Linked DNA regions of Notamacropus eugenii. The protein of the gene in region 1 interacts with the protein of each later gene in a pairwise test. Links are inferred from orthologs where the notes say so. Each region holds a gene or a part of one and is shown in the gene's direction. Other genes may lie near its edges.

Region 1 (12,335 bases):
GCCCCCTTCTTTAACAGACAAATTTGACCTCCCTCCAGGGTACTGAATTTCTTCTATTGTCTCTGTTTTAACACAAAATAAGGAGACCCACCCTCTTCTATCCCTTTCTTCCTTTCCTGTTCTCCATGTTCCTTTTCCTTTCTTTCTTTAGGGGAAGGGGAACCTCACTGAGGAAAAGGGTTCTCCCTAAAGTGTAACCCTCTATTACCTAACTACAGACTCTGAGGCAGAAGTGTGTGGCTAGGAGATTTTTTTTTCTGATTATAAATTATTACTAAAACAAATAGACTCAAGAATCCTCTCTGCCTCTTGTCACTGTAAAGCCCTCTGTCATCTGATGGAACGATTAGCTATGGAGAGGCTCTAACAGAAAACAGAAGCAGAGAATGGGGGCCTCTCATCATAGTCCTTTTAGTGTCTAAATCTCAGTTTCCCCCATAGACCCCAACTCACCCTTGAAGACAAAGTTATAATCCTCTTCTGCTCCGTTTCCCATCTTGGTCCCGCATCGAGTGTGTATGAATATGTGCAGTTGTAGTGAGAGGTGTAGATGGAAAATGGGATTAGGGCGTTGGCTCTGTGCCCCTCAACCCTCTGCTCTCTGGAGACCTTAACCTGACTCTCTTCTCATTGGGGATAGTTGGTCTTTGCAGTAGGAAGGAACAAGGGCAGACTCGGTCACTACTGGTGGGCTGGGAAGTCTCAGCTAATTAAAAAGAGGACGGGTCACAAGGAGAGGACGGAAGCAGCAGAGAACAGGAAGAGCCAGGCGGCTGGAGACCTGGGGCCCAAGTGGGTGGAGAGAGTGATGACGTCACGACAGGTTGGACAGGTTGGGTGTCTCTCAGGCCCTGGCCCTGGGTGGGGAGCAGGACAGATTTCTTAGAAGTTGAGGGAGGCAAATGGGACCTAGGAGGCTGAAGGAGGTTCCCCTTCCCCTAAAGAAGGAGAGCAGGGCCAGCTAAGTTAGCATCACTAGGCTTTCCTGGTCTTTGGTTAGGTTAGTTAGTCCCTGATCTTAAGTCTGCAACAACTATGTGGGGAAAACAGAAAGAATCCTGTCCTCAGCTCCCACTCTGCAGAAGTAGCCGGAGCAGGTGAGCTAATGGCACTTCAAGAGCATTCCCAATGCTGTCAGTGTGGACCGGAAACTTATGATCTAGTGACACTTGCTGCTCTGGCAGCGGGAGAAGCAGCAAGTTAGCTAGGTACAGTTGCTATGGTAACAACCCCTCCCAGGGAGCCCAGGGCAGTAGGCTGAGCAGCCTCTTTTTTGGGGGGGTAGTAGATTTTTTTTATAGTTTTTTTTCCCCAGGAAGTGAGGTTGGAATTTAGGAAACTTCGGGAAACTGAGTAATTTACAGCAGAATTGGTGGCATGCGGGCTAGCTGGTTTGGGGCTAGGGTCTCTGGAAGGTTAACTGAGGGCTTTGAGTTAAGGAGCAAGAAACATTGAGAAAAGAGAAGAGCAAGGTAGAGAAAGAGATGGACTAAGTAACGTAGCTAGAAAAGAAACAGGTCCTGTGAGGTATATGTACACACACGTCGTGAGTTAGGGGAGGATTTGGAGCTGGGCAACATAGCCTGAGGTCTCTGATCAACCTCTGGCCTGGAAGTTAGGTGTCCTGGACTCCAGCAGGCTCCCCTTTCTCTGGCCTGGGGCTTCCTTCCCAGCCCCATACTCCTGACAGCACATCTGAAAAGGGCTTACAGATTCCAAGTTAAGATTGTGTATATCTTTGTGTTTGTTGGGGGTGGGAAGGCAGTTAAACCCTTGAAGGAAGCCAAATGTCCCTGGTAGCTCTTACTCATCTTCCAAACTAAGAAATAGACTCAAAATGGATACGCCTGAAGATGGGGGTTGGGGAAAGAAAGTAAAATGGTCACATGACCCTCCTGGAATAGGAGTTGAAGCACTGAGCTCCCCATGTATAAAATGTGACCCTCACTATGTCCCTCCCCACCAAACTCAGGCATCCATCCAGGCTTACTGTAGATTATGGATGATAAGTTGGAAACTGCAGCCAAAACACCATTTGGTTCCTAATGAGAGGAGAAAGAATCTATTAAAAATGCACCCTGAAAGTGATCCCTTATCCATCTCAAAATCTGGCAGTTGGAAGGGCCTTCAGCAGCAATCTTGTCCAGTTCGTACATACAGGAAAGAAATTCTCACCATTAATATACCCCACAAGTGGTCATCTTTTCTCTACTTTATGACCTTGAAGGAGGGGGAGCCCATCCCCTCTCAAGGCAGCCCATTTTACTTTTGGCCTGCTCTAATTGTTTTTCCTGACCTATGCAAGCCTAAATCTGCCTCTGAAACTTTCATTCACTTCCCGATGGGGCCAAAGGGAACAAATCTAATCCTCTAGTACCTCCCCCACTAAACGTGACCATTAAGAAAGAATCTAAGACATAAGACAGGTGTTAAATAGTTTATTCAATGAGATTGGAAAACTTCCCTTCAGACCTCAGGAAAGGTTTACTGGGGACCCTGCCCCCATCAAAAGATGAGCCCTCCACCCTCATCCCCACTCTCAAGTCGATTATCCCCCGATTGCTATGACGCTGCCACTTGAGTGAGGGGATCCTCCAGGTACTGAACCAGGGCCTGGGCCTGTAAGAAGGTTAGTTCAATTTAGCCATGAAAAGAATACCTGATGGAGTCAAGGACTGGGACATCCAGACTCCCAGTTCCACTCCCTCCCTCCCCATCAGCATCAGCTTTTAAACCTCATACACTTTTTCCCAGGAAATAAGACTGAGATGTCTGAGCTCCTCATTTCTACCTATTCTAGAGAAAGCTTGGGAATAGGGAAGAGGACTCCGAACTAGCAAGATGAGGGCATGAAGAACATGAGACATTTTTTAAAAAAGGAGATGGGATAAGGGATCACCTTGGCCTTCAGCATTCCAAAGCCCACAGTCTCTTTGGCGTACATACACAGCAACAGGTTTGCCACCCGAGTGATTGCTACCCGGCCCTCCTGCAGGGGTAGAAAATGTGATATATGACTGCTAATTGGCCCCAGCTGTCCCCACCATTATGGTTCCTAGAATCCATTTTTTGGAATAATGTAATATTTGTGTGATTTTAGGTAAACTCCTTGGCCCCCAATTTTCTTAGGGAGTTGGAATAAAAAACCTCTGAGGAGTCTTCCAGCTCTAAATTTGGGATTCTATGATCTTTTTTAGGCTTACATACTATCATATAGCCTCATGTATTGTTCTCAGTTTAATGTAATTCTCAGAGAAACTATAAGCTGTCAGGGCAAAGACTCAGGCACATGAAATGGTTTCTTTGTATGAGGTAAAAAATTAAAGTACCAGGTTCAGATCCTTGCTTTCAGGTCTACTTGAGACTGTACCCTAAAATTGTTGTTGGGGTCCCACCCCCATGATGCACTTGGGAGTTTCTGTCTCCTCCTCCCTCCAATCATCCAGCATCTGCTCCAAGTCTATCCACTGATTAAAGTAATCAGAGTACAATGGAAACAACACTGAATTTGAAGTCGGAGGACCAAAGATCCAGAAGATTGCAAACTCTTGGAGAATAGGGATTGTTTTGTCCTTGTTACCCCTAGTTCTTAACACAGGGTCTGAGGCTTAGTGATTGTCAAATTGAATTGAATTTCAAAGTGCAAGCTGCCTTGAAGGTCAATGAGTCCAAACTTCCCATTTTACAGATAAGGAAACCGAGGCCCTGAGAGGTTGTGACTTGCCTGAGAATAACAGACATTTAAATAATATAGACAGTACTTAAACCCAGGTTCTCTAAATCTAAATCCAGCACTCATTCCATTATTAACATAGTCTAATCTGCACTTTTGCTATGTTTGTGACCTGGGCATATCACTTAGCTCTCAGTTTTTTCATCCATAAAACAGAAGGGGATTGGATAATAGGCTCTCTGTGTTCCCTTCCAGCCCTAAATCATTGACCCCAAAGAGTCATCCACTAAGGGAATCTAGTTTAAATCCCTCCACTCCAGGAGCTCCACTCCCCTTCATACCATGCAGTCCATAAGGATGAATTTGAGATTGTCTTCGTTAAAGGCTTGGTTCCCATTCCGGTCGTAGGCAGCCCAGATGTTACTGGCGATGGCAGCAGTGACCCTAGCATCGGTGTCCCCATAACCAGAGTAGGCCAGCAGGGAGCCCTCATTATTCAGCAACCTGGGGAGGGGGGATATAGTTAAAATGACTGGCTGGAGTCCTATGAATGTGTTCCGGGGTGAGAAGCCTGAGTTCCCTCTCCTAGATTTCGCTTTCCCCAGGGGTTGGGGCCCCAAGCTAAAAGCTATCAGCCTCCCCCCGCGACACACACACACTTTCTGAAAACCACTGCCCTCTTCTTCCCCCTTCCTTCCCTTCCCCCCTGCCCAAATCTTTCTTCTTCCCTCAGTCCCGCCACCCATTCCTCATCCAGGTTTCATTTCCCTAATAGCTCAAATTCCAGGAAAGCAAAGCTTGTTTCATTTTTGTCCATGAACCCCCCAAACCCCTGCACGGGGGCTGCCATCCAGTAGGGACGCCTTAACAAATGCTGGCTGACGGACCGATGGATTGATTGATAGCGTGCCCCTTTTCCTACACCTCCGTGTTCCTGGGGTCTCTTCCTCCCTTCCTGGGGTATGCAGAGCTCCCACTCCCGGGCCGGACTACAGGCTTGTTCCAATCCCAGCTAGGATGCACTGCATCCTGCCCCTTCTCCCCAGGGCACCCCCTACCCCCAACACTTACAGTGTGCTCTGGACGCCTCCGGTGTTGGCTTGACTTAGCACCTGGGTCAGGGCCTTGGGGCGAAGCATGACGACCGCTCCGAGTCCCCGCAACCCGGTCTACGTCCTGGATCCCTAGGGTCTTCCCCTGGCTCGCACTAGGTCGGACGCTTCCCGTAGCCCCGGCCGGTTCCCCCGGGGCTCACTGGGAATTGTAGTCTCCACCGGTAATGATCATTGCAGGCCTCCGTGGTAGGGCACCCTGGAAATTGTAGTTCTTTCTCAGCCCGAGAGGCATCTTGGGGGCCGTAGTCCAACATGCGAGGAGTAAAGACTCACCGAGGACATTTAAGCCGTCCCGGGAGCCTGGAGTAGTGTGGTCCGCACGTAATGAGTCATTTATTTAATTTTTGTGTGTGTGCGCAAATCTTTGCGCTTTGCAAGGTACTTTCATATAAATCAACAAGCATTTATTAAGCATGTAGCAGGCACTGTGCTAAACCTAAATTGCCCTTAATAATCATGTGGGGTAGGAAGGTTAAGTATTATTAATCTCCATTTTATATAAATGGGGATAAAAAGTCGTGACTTGCCCAAGGTCACACAGCTAGCTCCTACTTGAGCTGTTGTTTCCCTGTCTAGTGCTCTTTTCACTCCAGCATACTACTTTTGTTTTTATTTAAGAGAGGAGGTTAGAAGAAGAGGGAATTTAGCATAAAGCATCAGATGTTAGATTCCAATCAACCAGCAAACATTTATTAAGCTAAAAATACCCAGGTTCAAGTTCTGCCCCTGCCACACAATGACTGGGTAAATCTGAGCAAGTCATTTAACCTCCTTTCTGCAGACAACTAAGGGGATAAATTGCAGAGAAGGTGCTGGCCTGCACTGGTAAAAGGAATGTCCCCACCCAGGAGTTCCCTGCACCAAAGAAATCACAGCCTTATTCCTATCAAGCACAAAATCTTCTAGGTTCTAGTGACTGGGAGACACTTTACACAGGATTACAAAAGATCGAGGCTATTTGATTCTGAAGGGGAAGGAAGACTCCTAACTAGGGGAGGAGAAATGACCCTCAGAGGAAAGCTAAATGTCATCAGAAGGAGAGAAGTTTATAAGGTCAAGAAACAGAAGAGGAGTAGCTGTGGCACTGACCATTTTCTTATTTCTCAGGGCTGAAACCTTTCTTGTGTGTTGTCTCCCCATTAGAACCCGGTCTCCTGTAGATCAGGGACTGTCTTACTTCTCTTCTTCCCCAGGACATAACAGTACGTCAGTCAATAAATATTCAGCACCTACTGGGTGCCAGATACAGGGTTGTGCATAGATTAAATGCTTAATAATTTTTTTCATCCACCCATTTACACAGTAAACATCTGAGGCTGAATTCGAACCCAGGTCTTCTTGATTCCTTTTTGTCCTGTGAGACAAGAGACCTTTCCAATCCAGTGACCATCAGGACCCTTTAAAGTCAATGACCGTCCCGTCCAGTGAACTTTCTCCCTCCTAGACACATTGTCCCCGGTGCTGCCGTGACTCCCCCAGTCCGCTGGGGGCGCTGTAACCGCCGAGAGCTAGAGAAGGAAGAGAAGCGGAGACTCGCGGGGCGGGGCGGGCGCGGCTGCGGCGGCGGCGGAGGCGGCGGCGGCGGCAGGGGGGGGGGAGGGACGGAGGGCGGGCAGGAGAAGGCTGGGGTGGGGGGGGAGGGCTGGGGACGCCGTGGCCGGGCCGGGCCGGGCGGGGAGGAGGAGCCGGGGCCGGGCTGGCGGGCGGGCGGACGGCGGCGGCGGCATGGCGGAGCCGAACGGGGCCGGAGCCGGGGCCGGGGCCGGGACCGGGACCGGGACAGGGGCCGCGTCCGGAACCGGTGCCGAGCCGGGGCCAGGGCCCCCGATCCGGGTCACCGTCAAGACCCCCAAGGACAAGGAGGAGATCGTGATCTGCGATCGCGCCTCGGTGAAGGAGGTATGGACGCCGCTGGCCGTTCGGCGGGCCGCGGAGGCGGGAGGAGCGGCGCGCTGGGGGCCGGGCCGGGCCGGGCGCGGGCGTGCAGGGAGGGACGGAGGGGGCGGGGAGGGACGGCCGGGGGGAGGGGAGAGGAAGGAGGGGGCCTCTGGCACATGGTGGGGAGGGGAGGGAAAGGGGAGGCTCGTCCATCCCTGGAAGCAGACGGGAGGTGGGGGGCGAAGAGAGGTTGCAGGAGTGGGGTCAGGGGGCTGTCTGACCCACGAGGGTCCGGGCAGGCTAGAAAGTGAGGAGGCGGCGTACCCCCAGTCCCAGTCCTGGAGCTCGGAAGGGCCAGAAGCTGGCCCTAAGGGATGAGAGGAGAAAGCCCCCCATGCCCCAAATGCCCCATTCAGGGAAATGCCCTTTTCCTTTAAGACCCTGCTTGCCCCCACAGAGTGCTGGTTGTAGGCTGCCTTGGTCCTGATCCCCTCCTTTACTGCCTTAGCCTAGAATGAGTTTAAAGATAACGGCACCCCCAAGTTTAAAGGTGGAGAGTAAGAGAAAACTGAAGGGGGAGATCCAAGTGAGGAAAGAAAGGTTAGATAGTAGCAAGGAGTTGATTTTTTTTTGGGAGAGGGTGATACTGTGTTATGGACAAAAGAGTCAGAGAAACTGACTTGGTTAGAATTTAAACTCCTCAGTTTACTTTGGATAAGCCGGTCCACCCCCTCAGTTAGCTCATCTCTTGGGGTTGGCCTAAGTGGTCTGTAAGGTCCCTCTCAGCTCCAAATCCTGTGATCAAGGGAGGACTAGAGCCCCTGTGGTCTTCATCTCAGTAGAGTATGCAGCAGGACACAGAGGTGCTAGATTGGAGGAAAGATTTCTGATGACTGGAAATTGGAGCAAGGATTCTGAAGAAGAGTCTGAGCTGTTGGACAGTCTTTCTGTGAGGCAGGCCACACTGACCCTGGACCTTTGACCTGATATCACAGTTCAAAGAGGAGATCTCCCGGAGGTTTAAAGCCCAGCAAGACCAGCTTGTCCTGATCTTCGCTGGCAAGATTCTCAAAGATGGAGACACGTTAAATCAACATGGGATCAAGGATGGGCTCACTGTCCATTTGGTGATCAAGACCCCGCAGAAGTAAGTTTGGGATAACCAATAGGAGCTGCCCTTTGAATGGTCCTTGAAAGGCTACTGCTTTCTTACTCATCCTAACCCAATGGAAATCGTTTAGAGGTCTGAGAAGGAGATGCTATAGTCTTGATTGCGAGTTTGGGCTTTTTAAGTGTATAAAATTTAACTTAACATCCTCCTAGTATAATGTTACTTCCCTAGAAAAAATGGAGGCTAGTGTCTTACCCTTTTAAAAATCCTTGCTGAGAAGTTCAGTCCTTTATTAGTTTTCCATTTTCTTAAAGAAATAATTCTTTTGGAAAAAATTTTATTGATGACTTTTCTTTGAATGCCATGTGACTTTTCAGTCATTCTGTCTTCCTCTATTCTACAAAATAGTACTCTTCTCTTGTAGGAAAGAAAAACTGTAGTAAAGCAAAACAAACCATCATATTGACTGTTTCAGCCAGGTACCTCATTCTGCATTTGTAGTCCTTCATTGTTCTGTCAAGCAGAGGAAAGTGGTTTTGGCCATTTTCAGTTTTCTGACGTTGAGATTGGTCACTGCCTGGATCAAGTAACAATGGCTAGCATTTATACAGCACTTTAAGTTTTATAAGCCATTTTACCTCATTTGATCTTCAGCACTGGGAGTGCTCTTGCCCACTGTAGTCCCTAGCAGCCTAATGTTCTGATGGCTTTCATTGTTTTCCTTTACTTTAGTATGATCTTTCAGTAAATGATCATAATCAATTTCTAGTTCTGCTCATTTTACTCTGCATCAGTTCATTCAAGTCTTTCCAAGTTTCCCTGAACTCTTCTTATTTGTCATTTCTTATGGCACAATAAGATTCCATGGCATTCATGGTACAATTGAAAAGAGCCTTGGGTTTAGAGTCAGAACATTGGCTCAAACCCTGCCCAACACTTGCAACCTCTTTGACCTTGGACAAATCTCTTAACCTCACCAGGCCTTAGTTTCCTTGTCTGTAAAATGAAAGATGGACTCCTAGCTTCTTTATTTCCAGTTTCTTGCTATCTCAGAAAGTATTGTTATAAATATTTTTGTGTATGTGGACCCTTTCCCTTTGTCCTTGACATCCTTAGGATATGTCAATAAATCAGTCGCTAAGTCAATAAACGTTTACTAAGCACCTACTATATGCCTGGCCCTGTGTTAAAAGGGAAAGTCCCTGCCCTCTAGGAGCTTCCAATCTAATGTGGGAAGATTATATACAAAAGGCAGGTAAAGGGGGGAGGGGTAGTACCTGACTTGGGGGCATGGTGGAGAAGTCAGAAAAGTTCCAGAGGAGTGAGATCAGGTGAGAAATGAGATGTTCTGAGCCCAGCTCCCTGCTTAAATAGAGTTTTGAAAGTTCATGGCACCACCTTTCAATCAGAAGGGCAGAGGGTAGTAAAGAAGTGAAGTCCTAGGGCTGAAAAGACCTTTCAGGATGGTGAGATTTTCCCAATAATGAGCTTCTTTGACCCTGGTGGAGAAGTCACAGATGTCCCAGAGTAGTACTCAGGTGCGAAATAAGGAGGCCCAATACTGGTATTACTGGGGGTGAGTGTGTGGGCGTGTAGTTCAGCCCGGTTCCAAATTGTTTTCTAGAACACTTAGATCGGTTCATAGCTCTACCAACAGTATGAATGTGCTCATCTTCCCTCATATCAGCTAACATTTACCCTTTACCATGTAGTCATCTTTACCTGTGTGCTGGGTGTAGGGTAAAACCTGAGTTCTTTTCATTTTCATTTCTCTTATTATTAGTGATTTGAAACATACTTTCATGCGGTTGTCAATAGTTTGCAGTTTTCATTTGAAAACTGCCTGTCCATGGCTTTTAACCATTTTATATATTGAGAAATTTCTCTAATTCTTGTGTGTGTGTCTCTATATGTATATATGTACATGTATAAACATGCACATGTATGTACATATGCACACATATATGTATGTGTATACGCAGGCATATATGTGGATATGTATATATATTCCTATAGTGCACATATATGTATATTATTTCAATACGTATGTACACATACCTTGGGTGGTCAATGCTGTTATCCCCGTTTTATAGATGAAGAAACAGATTGAGAGAGGTTGAATGACTTCCCAAGGCCCCACAGCTGGTAAAAGTCGGAGGCAGGTTCTGAGCCCAGGTCTTTGGCTCCAGGTCCAGGAATCTTATCTTCCCCCTAGCTGACTATATATATGAGTTCTCTCTATCTCTTGGTAGACTTCTCGTTTCTAGTTCTGTGGCCTCTTTTGGCCGTTTTTTGGCTGAGACCCTGAGACTTGAGAGGAATCAGTAGGGTGTTAAAAAGAACATATTTTTTAAAGCTAAATTCTAGCATGGAGAACCACAAGCTGTTGGGAAAGTCAGCATCATCTTCCATAGCAGTCTAGGGACAGTGATCTGAATGGGCAAAGAGCAGCAACCTTTGAGCTGAAAGCTCTGAGTTCCATCATTGTAACTCCTCTTTACTAACTGTGGCTGTGGGCAACGACATCATTGACCTCTCTGAGTTTCATCTGTACAGTGGGAATGCTATATGTACTATTTCCCCCAGGAGGTTGTGAGGGAGGAATGAGAACTCACCATGTAGTGTAGTGGATGGAAAGCTGGCCTGAAGGCCAGGAAGACCTGGGCTCAAGTCTTACCTTAGACATGTATTGACTGTGTGACCCTGGGCAAGTCTCCTCTCACTGCTCTAGGTAGTTCTCTAAGACTCTTAAGTTACAGAGGAGTTGTCAGCTTATATTGGTGGACACTTGCTGGTTGTGTTACCTTGGGTAAGTCACTTAACTTCTCTGTCTGCCTTAGTTCCCTCATCTGTAAAAGGGGGATAGTAAGAGCACCTACCACTCAGGGTTATTGTGAGGATCAAGTGATGTGATATTTGTGAAGCACTTAGCATAATAACCTGCACATAGTAGGTTATATAAATAATTGTTTTCTAACTTGGTAGAGGGAGATTCTTCACCTTGAGAGTATCAGTGAAATCACAGCTCTGTTGCCTTTTCTTAGCCCTACTATGTGCTAAGGACTAGGGACAGAAACACAAAAGCAAGACAGTCTGCCCACAAGGGGCTATGTGATTCTGGTCAAGAAACATTTCTAATGGGGAGGGAGCACCTTTTCCCCTTCATCTTTTTCTGTCTCTCTTCTACCCCCTGGGACTCAGAGTGACTGAGTGATTTGCCTGTGGGCATATAACAGATTGGTAGGGCGCCACTTCTGGTGCCCAGGTCTTCTGAATGCCCAACTAGTCCTCCTAAGTTAGCACTGCTTTGCCATCTGAGCCTCCTTGTAAATTTGGGGTGGAATGGGGGGTGATTTATGATCAAGAGGATCACTTCTAGCTCTTAATAATCTATGCTTCCATAATTCTTTGATTCCTGGGTTCCCAGTTTAGGATTTTCCCTCCTATGTCCTTAGGGCTCAAGATCCTGCCGCTGCTGCCTCCACCGCTACTGCTGCTGCTGCTACCACCGCTGCTACTGCTGCTTCCTCTGCCCCAGATGCTGCTTCTGCTCCAGCCTGCACAACAACTTCACCTGCTGCCCCTGCTCAGCCATCCACGTCAAGCAGCACTGCCCCTGATGCTGCTAGTGGAAACCGGAGGAACAGTGGAGGTGGTCCAACCCCAGGGGCTGGGGATGGGCCTTCTAGTGGGCCTGCATCCATACTCTGTAAGCCACTTGGGGAGAGAGTGCTCATATGCTTGTGTTGCACTTTGGGTCTGGGGATGTAGGGTTAGAAATCCAGAGGCAGAAATGTGTCCCCTTCCCTTAAAGAACTCCCAGTGTAGTTGTGTACTGAGGGAAATGTGATATGCCCTTAGGTTGGGGGCACAAGTTCTATCATGGTTATGAATGCTGGGAAGGTGGGGAAGCGATTTATGGGGTAAGGTTGGGGTCAGTTTGGAAGGCTTCTTAGAAGAGGGAAATGTTAAACATGATTAGAAAGGGAAGACTGGGTGGCAGGGAAGAGGGAGAATGAAATTTAGGTGCTCCAGATGGAGCCAGGCTGAGGGTCCCTAAGAAATCAGTTAGTGAGCATTTCTTAAGTGTTTTCTGTCTGCTAGGCACTGTGTTAAACACTAGGACTATAAGAAAGGCCAAAACAGTCTCTGCCCTGAAGGAGGAACCTGAGATAGACTCAGGATAAAGAGAGAGAGTCCTGGGGGCTGTGGCTGCCATATTGGCAAGAAAGAAACTCCCGTGATTTGGGAAAGGAGCAGGATAAGGAAAGAGACAGCTCTTAAGGAAAGTGATTCAAGGCTAAGCTAAGGAGCAGTATGATGAAGCCCTCCATGAATGCTGGGATGGGCCCCTGTTGAAAGAAATGGGAAGGAGTAATTCTGAGTGAAGAGCCATAACCAAACCTAGAAGAAATTAGTGTTGTCATTGTAGGAACAGAGGGGTGGGATCCATGGCAGCATGTCTATGCTATGTTCATGATTCAGCTCTCCTTCTTGTAGCTGGCTTTGGGGGCATCCTAGGACTGGGCAACCTAGGCCTTGGCTCGGCTAATTTCAT
Region 2 (12,257 bases), on another chromosome or scaffold:
TAAAGTCCAAGGCAAGCATATTATGGCAACTCTGCTTAGAATCTAGGGAATGTGAACCTCCAATCTATGTACTCATTTATAAAATGAGGACTTTGGTGCAGATTGTCTGTAATTGGCCCTTGGGTTCTCTCTGGTTAACCTCTAAGAAATTCCAAGAGCATTTATTAATTCATTTTCCTCCTTAACTAGATAAAATATGCAATTACATACCAAGCATGCCACAATATCTCATTTTGGTGATATCTTTGTTGAAAAAATACTAAGGACACAGGCCACACACAGCTAGTGTTTTGAGCTCTGTAAACAAACACACATACATATGTCCAAAATTCATTAAAATTATGGAAAAATATCAGAAATAACCTGAAATGGTGGAAAATATGATGGCTGAGAATTTAAAATTTTATTCTAAAAATAATTTTTTTCTCATGTTCAAATGAGAGTTTTGGTTTCTTGGTTCTTTCCATCACATTATTTTTTTTTTAAATAACATACTCCAGTTTCAGACTTTGCAGCACATAATCTTGTCATCCAAGTGAAATGGGAGATGGGCTCACATCAATAGTACATACTTAGAGCTAAAGAATTCACACTCTAATACTGTATATGATAATGATGTGCTTAAAGGATCCATCATGTCATCAATATGGACATGCCTTGCATAAATGCAAATCACAGTCCCTGCAAATGATCTTCACTAATTGCTTTAGCTGAAGGTTTATATTCAAAATCTTCCAGCTGGTAAGACCTGCTGAAATTTTCTAGCACTCAGGGTCACCCAGAGACCATGATGAAACATTAGAGGAGGACTTTAGTCCTAGTGAGAAAATGGGAGGAGGAAATGAGAAAGTACTATTATTAATATAGTCAAAAGGAAGGATGAATCAAGGCTAAGAGGTAGTAGAAGGCGTAGATACCATATGCAGGAAATTCCCATGAGAACTACCACATAGGAGCTGCTACAAAGAAAAGTAGAATAGGATGGAAACTAATGTAGCATTTCCTTTGTATCATTTCAGGACCTAAAAGGTAGGAAGGAGACTAATATATCTTGGCTCAAACTAGCCTATATGTTATGGTAGATGGTGAGAATGGTGTTATGAGAGCTAGGAGAGCCTGACTGATGCTGGGAGAAATGTTACTGTTGAATGAGCATTTCTGAGGTCTGGGTCTTTCTCTTCTCGTGCTGGTGTTATAGAGACAGTGTTGGGGGGGAGGGTTAAAAGTATATGTCTTGGTCCAGAAGTTTTCCCAATAAAATCAGGAATAAAGCAAGGGTACCCATCCTCCCCACTGTTATTTGATGTAGTTCTAGAAATGCTAGTAATAGCAATAAGACAAGAGAAAAAATTAAAGGCAAAAAAATAAAGAAGAGATAACACTAATCTTATTTGTCAATGGCATGGTGATTTATTTTTAAAATCCTAGGAAATCAGCAAAGATAGTAATTGAGATAATTAATTGCTAAGCGATCTCTAGTTCCAAAATAATCCCATGAAAATCATGAATGGTTCTATATGATGATAACAAAATCTAAGAGGCCATAAGAGAAAATGAAATACCATTCAAATTAACTACTAAATGCACAAAATAAGTGTATAAAACATTAATCTATTATCCAATTTTAAAGTGTTTCTTAAATGATCAAAGATTAATTAAAATAACTAGAAGAATATTCAGTGCTCATAGCTGGGCCAAGCCAATATAACAAAAATAATGGTGCTACAGTACTAATACTGTACCGATCAAACTATCAAAAGGATACCTTACAAAACTATAAAATAATGACAAAATTCATTTAGAGATACAAAAGATTTAGAATATTAAGAGAAATAATTTAAAAAAGTAGTAATGACAGGTGAATAGTACTTCCAGACTTTAACTATAGTATAAACTAACAATCATCAAAACTATTTGGTGATGGTTAAAGGAGAGCAGAGCAGATCTACAGAACAGACTAGTTAAGGGAAAATCAGAAACAAATAAAAACAATAACTTAATTTTCAATAAATTAAAAAAATTACTTGGAAAAAATTCTCTATCTTGTTAAAAAAAAAAAGTCAGAAAGGAAAACCAGAAAACGATCTGACAGAAATCAAACTTATACCAACAATTTAGTCCATACTCTACAATCAAGAATAATAATAATAAATAATAGAAATGAAAAATAAAACAATCCTAAAGTTTTACCTCACACCCAGAAAATGGGGGGAAAAAGATAGGAATAAGTCAATATTTGAGGGGTTTTGGAAAGACAGGCTTATACATTGTCGGTGGAGCTGTGACGTTGTATAACCATTTTGGAAGGAAATTTCAATTTATACAAATAAAGTGACTATCCATACTCTTTAACCTCAAGATGTATGTATTGTTCTTATCTACCAAGAAGGTCATTGACAAGAAGAAAATCCCCACGTATGACAAAATATTTATAGTAGCACTCAAGACACATGGAAAGACACAACCTGTTGCAAAGTGAAGTAAATAAAACCAAGGGAAACATTGTACACAATCATTGCAACATTGTAAATGGAAAGAACCAACATAAAAACATCAAAAGATAATGTTTCAAAAACACAAGGAACAAATATGATCCCAAAGAAGAGATACTGGAAGACGTTTCAACCTCACTTGTTTGCAGATGTGGGAGGTCTAGAGGTATGTATATAATGCCCGTGTATCTGTATCTGTATATATAGGTAGATAGATAGATAGATAGATAGATAGATAGATAGATAGATAGATAGATAGGTATATATATGTGTACACACATATACATGCATATATGTGTGTATATGTATACATATATGTATAAGTATATATACACACACATATATAATTAGCATAGGATACATTTTCAGACTTTTTCACCTTACTGATCTGTTTCATGAATTTGTTCTGTTACATCTTTTCTATTTTTTTCTTTAAAAATATTATTTGTTATGTGAGATGAGTTTCTGGGAGGAAACAGCAAGAAAAACTGAGAAAAATTTTGTGATTTAAAAAGCAAAAGACATCAATAAAAATTATTGTCAAAAAGAATGTGAATATTTCAAATTTTTCAAAAACAAAAACCAAGCATGGCTCCCAAGAAGAAATAGGAAAAGATAACCCTACTCCACTCCTTTGCAGAAGTGAGAGGCTCTTAAGTATGGAACATTGCATATATTTTAAAACTTTTTCCATGTGTCAATCAGTTTTGCTGAATTTTTTTCCTCTTCCTTTTTTTTTCTTTAAAAAATATTTTTTGTTATATGAGTTGTTCTCTGGGAGGGCAGAGGAGAAGGGATATAAAGGGTAAATTTGGTCAATATAAATGAAAAAGATACAAATAAAAATGTATTTCTTAAAAAACAGACCATCTGTATCTGGTAACACTTCCTGGACACCCAAACTAAGAAACTGCTATAACGTAGAGCTCTTTCCATTCTTTATGTAGTATCCTTTGGTCAATCAATGTGGGTAGAAAACAAGACAGACAGATATGATATAAATATAGATGATAGAGAGCTATATTCATTTGTTTACTCATTTGTAAACATGTCATATGCTTTCAGAAGAATATCAACTTCTTGAGGGCAGAGACTTTATCACCTTTGTGACTATATTGCCAGTGCTTAGCATGAAGCCTGGCACATGGTTGGTACTCAATGCATGCTTATTGATAGATTAACTATAATAGTTTGTTTCTGTATATATATATATATATATATGTATGTATGTATATATGTATGTATGTATATATATGTATATCCTTTTCCATCATGCATATATTGATTAATACACATAAGTATATCCTGCCCATTGTTTAGCATCTACACTCTATTGCATCTTTCACATACATGTACAAGATGCATGCAGATAGATGTGTACTTGCATGTATAAACAAGGATGTGTTCTGGGTTTTACTGCCTATTAAAAAATACATTCTACCATCTTCTGCCTAGAAAATATTTGAGGAAAATGTCCACCCTTCCTATTGGACAAAGAGTTCTGTTGGTACGAACACATTGATGTTCTTTAGTTTAACTGACGCTGTCTTTATGGCTTATCTTCCTTGAGTGAGACTGTAAAGGTGTACAGAAGAAAGAAGTGAGTAACTTAGCAGCTGGGGTCATGGTTCCAAATGCTACGCAGAGTTTCTGCTGTTTATTGCTCTGGCGACCACCATGTTTCCAGTAATCAGAAATCCATATGGGGTATTGGACAGCCCATGGCTGTTGGGAGTGTCCATTTACTGCTCGCTGTAATTATATCTCTTATCAAAAGTTGCAGAGAAAGTGCTGAGTCGTGGAGGATGTTTCCTCACTAGCAAAACAATTAAAATCACAAAGTCATTCCCTATTCTTATGCTTAACTTGCTGATGCTATAAACAGGAATATCCAGTTTGTCTATGTGTCAAAAACATGCTCTCTACCTTCCCAACTACAAAGAAGCCCCCAAAATTCCTTAACCATAAATTTATAAGGTTTTACACTCTGTAGAACCTCAGAACCAATACCATTTTTTGATGAATTGCAAGAAAGATGGCGAGGCCTACCTGACAGCTTACAGAGACTCAAGGCATTGCATGGAAAAGAAAAAATACTTTTGTCTAGACCTATTTATTCCTTCCCACTGCTTTTTTGTTGAGGAAAATTTCTTTCTGTAAGCACCAAGGGAAAGTGGCATACACTAACTAATTTTGGTCTTGTCTTTTAACATATGAATGTGTACCCCTTCCAACAAGAAACTCAGTAGAAACAAATCACTGCTATTTGCTTCAAAGATCATTTTTCGAAATACTGCCATCTTGTGGAACTTTATAGATATGCCCAAGAAACTCATAAGTGGGGTTACATGGTTCAGTCTAGGAAAAGTTGCAGAAATTTATTCTTATTACAATTTTATATTAAATTATAGGAGAGGGTAAAGAGTAAATTGCAATGAGTTCTGTAACTAGGTGAAGCCTTTTAGAATATATAAATGTACTCCAAGGAATTCATAACATCAGGCCCATGTAGGTAATACTTTTAAGAAATCAGATAATTAAAAAAGTAGTTGTAAGAGAAATATTTTACAAGTTTATTTTAACACTTGAAAACTTACAAGCATTTATAAAGTATGTATTATTAGAACATATATATGTATACATAAATACATACATATATGTGTATATATATGTGTGTGTATATATGTATGTGTGTGTGTGTGTGTATATATATACATATACACACATATGTATATAACCCACCATGGACAGCAAATCTAACAAGATTAACTCATTTGGAATTGCACCCAATGTTATTTTCTTCCTAATTCTAAAAAAAAAAAACAAAAAACAACTGTGGGTTTTTCCATTAATATTGGGAATAAAGTGTGAACATCTAGAGGGTTGGGGATTTTTGTGGCTATTTTAAAACAGTGCTTGGCATGATTTCAGGTCAAAAAGGAACTGACTTGTGAAAATGCTAATAAAGCGGCCCATTTATCTTACATCTCACTTTGCATACAATCCTTCAAACAATTCTGTGAAGTAAATGAGTACTGTAATCCCCCCATTTCACAACTGAGAAAATGATATTGAAGCTAAGTGACCTCCAATGACAATGAAATATTGTAGCCAGAAATGAAACTCTAAAAATTCTGTCCTTGCATTTAAACAGCATCTCTAGCCTCTTCTCTCACACATGCATTTAGGTACATGAATTTTTTAAAAGGCTCATAAATTAATAAAATTATCATCTATATAAATTGGGGGGCACAAAGCTGAGGGACAAGAAAAGTTGGATGAGAACTCAAGAGGTGTAGTACCCAAAGGACTAGATCAAATGAAATAATATTTGTAAAAGAGCTTAGCACTTAGTAGGTGGTCTATATATGTTTAATTTCTGCCCTCCCTTCTCCTCAGGAGTTAGAGAACTTGGAATCAAATCCTACCTCTTGAGCTTACAGTGTGTATGATCTACGAAAGTCCCTTAACACCCCTGGGTCTTAACAGTCTCATCTGTTACATGGGTGGGTTGGATTAGGTACCTCAGAGGTTCCTTTGAGCCATGAAGATAGCTAGGATTTAATTTCTAAATATGATTCAGAATGTTTCCATTTTTTGTATATGTGACATTCCTGTTATTCAAGATGTACAAACCTTATGTAGGGACTCATTCTAGAGATGAACAGTGCCAAAAGTTAACATCACCATTTCCCCCAAAGCAAAACCTTATAGAAACTTAAGTCTTTATCTTAGCAATATCTAGAGTAGGCTTCTATTTTTTATGACAAGAAGTAAGATTCTCCACTGATATTACCAAGTAAGCCCTGACAATTCATATTATTTCAATAATGCAACAAAACTATTATCTCCCTTAAAGTTGTTCAAGAATATAATATATAGATAGGTATAGATACATGTGTGCACACACATATACATATACACAGTGTATTTTGTACATATGCATATACATATATATATGCATATGTTTATATATACACAGATACACAACTATACCATATACATAATACAAACACATACACAATGCATATGTGTATACCTATACATGTATACGTGTATGTGTTGCATATGTATACATACACATTGTGGATGTATGTATATAAAACATATGCATGTTTTATTGTCATGTTAGTGCTTCTCTTAAGAGTATAGAATGGTTCTTAATTACAGAAGAGACAGTTATGAACACTTGGTGTGTCGGTCCAATTTCACTAATCTGAGACATTGTCCATAATGATAGCTTGTGTCCATACATCTTCATGTGTTCAAAACCTCTGCTGTGTAAGATGGAATGTGCTAATGGATAGATAGTATTACCATCTATTTTATTAGGAAACTGAGGCTGAGATAAATTTAGTGATTTGTTGCTGCTACTAAATGACAGAACCAGTATTTGGTGCCTTCTCTCCTTTCACTTGGGCCAGATGAGATTGAGAGACTTGTTTGAGGTGATTCAGGTAGTAAGTAGAAAAATCAGTACTGAAAACCAGATCCCCTCACTCTAATCAACCCACTTTCCACTTTCTGATCTCAAGCTTTCACTTACTCTGCAAGAAACAAAAATACATTCATCTTATCTGTCATTTGTTGCCGACTTATTGTCATGAAATACTATGTTGTCCCAATAGCTAAGTCATAAACTCAACATTTCCAGAAACTAGTCTTCTTTGCTTTTGTATTGCTTATTTTATGTACACCTACCCTTGAGTCTCTTATATAATGATGTGTTAAACCCTCGGAGGAAACTGCTAGGAAATAACAGAGTATGTAAGTAATGTTTTAACTATAGGGTAGTTTGTATTTGCTTTATAAAACCACAAAACCAGAAGGAAAGTGTGGGAGAAGGTGGGCGGGACAGTGGCACAAACCTCATGACATTTTCCTCCACCCCTTGGTGATTGGCTGAGAAGATGTGGGACAGCATTTAAATTCTAGGAGGTCACAACAAGTGAGCAGTCTGAAGAGAAGAGGAGGGAGCATCAGATCCTGAAGAGAACCTGAACAATCTTCTTGCTCAAACTCCACCTCAGGTAATTAGATTTTTTATTTGTTTGTTTTACCACTTTACTTCTTAAAATTTCTACTTGGGTGATTAGACGAAGCTATTCTAAATTCAGTTATTTTTCTCCTACAAAAGCTCATCATGTTTTAAAACTAGGCTAAAACAATCTGACTAGGATTTTTTAAAATTGAGTTATGTTATTTTAAAATGCAAGCTGAAAAGATGATAAAAACGCATCCAGTTTTTTGGTTGGTTTCTCTTATAAGTGGAGAAAGATATGTACTGCATATATGGTTGGCATATTGATGTTAAGTTTAAGTTATTATCTAATGTTGTCAGCTAAGAATGAGTCTAACATAGAGAATTAGAACTATTAATGAATTGTAAAATGTACTCATGCTTTTTCGATGTTGGATGACTCAGTTTTTAACATTCCCTTTTGACTGTCAGGAATGGGGAAAAAAATAGTAGCACAGGGTTTTAGAACTCCTTTTCAGATTTCAACTCAACAGAGAAATTTTTAAAAATGTTAATGGAAAGGAAAGAGCCTCTAGAATATGGAATCACTGTGGTTAAATTGATATTACAAGGTATCCTTGGAAACACTGAGGAAGAATTCACCATGAGGACTGCAGTGATTTGCTTCTGCTTACTTGGCATTGTCTCTGCATTTCCTGTAAGTAAATATTACAATTCAATTACATTACTAAACCTGAATAAATTGTATAGATTCTTTCTGTGCTAGAAATAAAGTTGTACTGTAATCTCTTTTCATCTTTCTTGTTTCAAAGGTGAAGCAGCAGATCAATTCTGGTAGCTCAGAAGAAAAGCCGGTGAGTTTCCTTTAAATATCTTTTTGTTAACTTCACTTCACACTCACTACAAAGTCAAGTGGAAGTCATGTCATCATTTCTCTGATGGCATGGTCTTCTTAGGCAACAAAGGATTAACACACACACACACATATGCCTACTTTTACAAAATTCACTGCCCAAAATATCTGTTACAATAATGCCTGCTCACAAAATGGTAACATGAACTTTTCCCTATTAACTTGAGTTTATTAATTCATGAGCATTTATTTTTACAAAGCCTGCTTTGGGTCCAGCACTGCAACAGCACTGTTGTGTACAGTTGGGTATAGAATAAGGTCCCTTACAATATTATACTCAAAACCTAGCTGAGGAGTTTACCACCTGTTTAAGAATGCATGATTTTTCCTTTGTGAAGTTAAAATTAGGCCTTTTAAAAAAGCAAATAGTTCTCTGGACCACAATAATTCATGAATCCTTTCTGTTTAAGTGTGCCCTTTTGTGGCCAATATATTGTTTTATAAGAGTTCAATCCATTGTTTGATCACCCTAAGAGAAAGTAGAATTTAAAATACATTTCTGACATTAGTCTATAAGACTATGTGGCCAAATGCATAGGCAGTATCTCTTTAGATGTTTGCTTCTGAGTCCATTGTCCGAGGAATATTGTCAGATGATTTCAAATCATATTTTCCAAATAAAATAGGCATCGGTTGAAATCATACACATTCTACTATTGGTTTCATAGCATCTTAATTGCAGCTGGTCTCCTAGATAAAACTGTGTCCAACAGAAAACAGGCATTGCCCCCGGGTACTAACCCTGTAGAACACATAGTAAAATTCTAGATAGAATAGAGGCTAAAATTGAGTTATCTGGGATCATTGTGATTGTTGCTTAATGAAGGAATCAGCAGGATTTTTGAGATGTTGCTTTTTCCTAATTCATTCATGAGTGCAAAATGCTTTGTTATCATAATGAAATAGGAAAGTTGGCATTTTTAGAGAAGATTACCCCTCTGTTCTAGTCAGAGAAGATTACCATGCCCAGAGAACATAAAATAAGGCAAGGAGGTACCCTAACAATGTCTCTTAAGTGGAATGAGAAGTCAGAGAGCAACACAAACTCCAAGTAGTAACCAGTAGCTGAGTGCTGAGAATGATATTCAGGATGTGAATGAGCAAACTCAAAGTTCTTCCTTCTGTTGTCATTTCCACCACCATTCCTATCATAATCATAATTTTCCATAAATGTTGGGCACAGAGCAAATGTAATTTCATTGACATATATGGTAATGTGGAAAGTAGACAATTATCTAAGGTTATATCTGCCTTTAATTGAACTTTAAGAGAAGAGTCAGTGAATTGGAATATTTATCAAAGGAGCAGCAATTACAAACAAATTCTTGAAAGAAAGATACAAAGGTAACAGGATTCTTAGCTAATTATATCTTTATTCTTATGTATTTCATGTTGCTAAAGCTCCCTAATTCATACAACATCACTTACAGGGGCATACGTTTCCCTTCTAATAATGATAGACATGCATTTTTTTTCTTATAGCTTTATAACAAACATCCAGACTTTGTGGCCACATGGCTGAGTGCTGACCCTTCCCAGAAGGAAACATTATTAGCCACACAGGTATTTGAAAATTTTGTATGATTAAATATATAATTCAAGTGTTTATTCCTGTATGTATGTATATATATATACATTTATATATGTAAATACATATCTCCTCATCATCCCCACTAATCAATCTACAGGTTATTTATTAAGTCTTTTCTATGTGCCAAACACTGTACTAAGTTCGGAGATACAATGAAAAAGCAAAAAATATTCCCTGCCCTCACTGAACTTATCTTTTAACAGAGGACAAAACATGCATGTAAATATGTAAATAATAAAATATGTATATATAAAGACATATGAGTGTATAGATACAGCTATTTAGATAGAGCAGTTACAAAATGAACTCAGAAGGCACCACTGTGCAAAGTGTTTGAATATAAGAAACCAGTGGTTTGATTTCTATTTATACCTCAGACACCTCTCCAAGGCAATAAGGTACAGAATATTTAGCAGTTTTTAAAACTGTATTATATATGGATAAATCATATGGATGTCCTCATATGTTATGTTATGTAAGATGGGTCATTTTCATGTTGATGAACAAAGATTTTCATTTGAATGTCAGTCAGAAGGAGATAATCAACCTATTTTGATCTTTTCCCTTTTTAGAATTCAGTGTCCTCTGAAGAAAGTACAGAAGACTTACAAGAGGTTAGTTCTCACCTCCACAACTTTTCCCAACATAGGGAATTCAATGGGTGTAAAAAATGTTATAAAACTTCTTTCTCGCAGGAAGACTGATCTAGATACTCTACCTCTGATAATCCACTGGAGAATTCCTCCTAGACTTCTTTGTTAAGTACTTGGTAAACCTTAAAGTGCTGTATAAATTGGAGTGATCTGAATTATTACAAGAGATAATAATTAGGGATTTATAGCAGAGCTGACATAAAAGTCTAGCATCAAAGCTCAATGTTTAGACAGTCTTGATTCAAAAATTCATTTCAAACTTGACCAGTAAAATCAGATCACATAACTCCAAAAAGGCCCATCATTAAGGAATTAACATATCTCCTATCTATTTAGTCCTAAAATAAAGATTCATTAATATCAGGCTTAAAAATTTTGTTTGAAGTCTACGAATACACATGACCTCGTGCTCATCAAGTGACAAATTAATGCCCTTGAACAATAACCAAATTAATATTTTTGACTCTATTTATATTTTCATTTCCAATCTGATTGTTTATGAAATAGCTCCAATCTTCATAGGGCCACTGGCATGTCAAAGCAATGTTTGAGTCAAATGATACAATTGTGTCATTGATCACAATCATATATTAACTTTTTTAATACCACCATTGTGATGTACTGAGAGCTCCTGGAGAGGAAACTAAATAAGCCATTGGAATGAAAACAGAAGTGTCAACACAAATGCTTGGCGGTATATTTTCTTATTTATGGATACTAACTGATTGGTTTAGGTGATGGTTAGAAATGGAAATGTATTGACACGTGCATTCAGTCAAATTTCAATTATCCAAACTAATAACTACTAGTGTACCAAATAATTTATTTACAAAATATGAAGCATTTTGGAAAGAGAATATTTTATGATGTATAAATATAAAGAAAATAATTTATGAATTTTTCAAGTAGAGTTCAATAGCTAACATTTATGTAGATCTTTAAATTAAAAAAAAAACTTTTGACTTTTAGACACTCCCAAGAAACTCTGATGAAAGCCCAGATGATATTGATGATGATGATAACGAAGATGGAGATGAAGGACATCAAAGCATTGATTCTGATGATTCAGATGAATCTGATGAGGTGGTCACTGATTTTCCTACTGATACCCCAGCAACACCAAGTTTTGTAACTGATGGACCAACAAGAGGTGATGGTGGCAGAGGAGATAGTGTGGCTTACGGACTGAAGTCAAAATTGGGAGCACTCCACAGATCATCAGAACAGGTAAATTCTCTTGACAAAAATTTTAGATGGTTACGAAAAAGCCTCCCTTTTAAGGAATAAATGAACGAAAGCAATATCCAATACAAAATTATTATTTAAAATGTTTTATTTGGTGCTTTTGGAAAATCCACATAAATTTCTACACTTTTCCTTCTCTAACACTGCAGTTTTCACTTAAAAATCATGGTTCAAAATGGTGCCAAGGTCTCCATCAATTATCTTACTCCATCTAGACTTTCTTGGGAGAAAAGTCTCTAGAGTATGGCAATCATATACAAAAAAAGCATTAGCTCAAAAGACTAAAAAATAGAATAACTATGCAAACACACATTTTAGCTAAAATTAATCCCCCTCCATGTTGTTAGCCATAGTTTAAAAATGGTTTACATTAATTCTCTTC

What was found.
Region 2: the proteins of UBQLN4 (region 1) and SPP1 interact in a two-hybrid assay, tested with the Homo sapiens proteins (2 studies listed by BioGRID and IntAct). The link is inferred for Notamacropus eugenii from reciprocal best matches to the Homo sapiens genes UBQLN4 and SPP1.

Annotation. Positions count from the first base shown.
Region 1 is NC_092873.1:380,135,257-380,147,591, reverse strand, and holds the start of UBQLN4 (ubiquilin-4), read left to right. Parts: upstream 1-6,495; 5' UTR 6,496-6,513; coding exon 6,514-6,687; intron 6,688-7,661; coding exon 7,662-7,813; intron 7,814-11,232; coding exon 11,233-11,486; intron 11,487-12,277; coding exon 12,278-12,335. Other genes in the region: RAB25 (ras-related protein Rab-25), read right to left, coding at 454-496; ragulator complex protein LAMTOR2, read right to left, coding at 2,563-2,619, 2,900-2,989, 4,015-4,177, 4,745-4,812. UniProt on the Homo sapiens protein: Regulator of protein degradation that mediates the proteasomal targeting of misfolded, mislocalized or accumulated proteins.
Region 2 is NC_092878.1:141,856,049-141,868,305, reverse strand, and holds the start of SPP1 (osteopontin), read left to right. Parts: upstream 1-7,441; 5' UTR 7,442-7,522; intron 7,523-8,084; 5' UTR 8,085-8,116; coding exon 8,117-8,170; intron 8,171-8,285; coding exon 8,286-8,327; intron 8,328-9,868; coding exon 9,869-9,949; intron 9,950-10,549; coding exon 10,550-10,591; intron 10,592-11,599; coding exon 11,600-11,857; intron 11,858-12,257. UniProt on the Homo sapiens protein: Major non-collagenous bone protein that binds tightly to hydroxyapatite. Appears to form an integral part of the mineralized matrix. Probably important to cell-matrix interaction.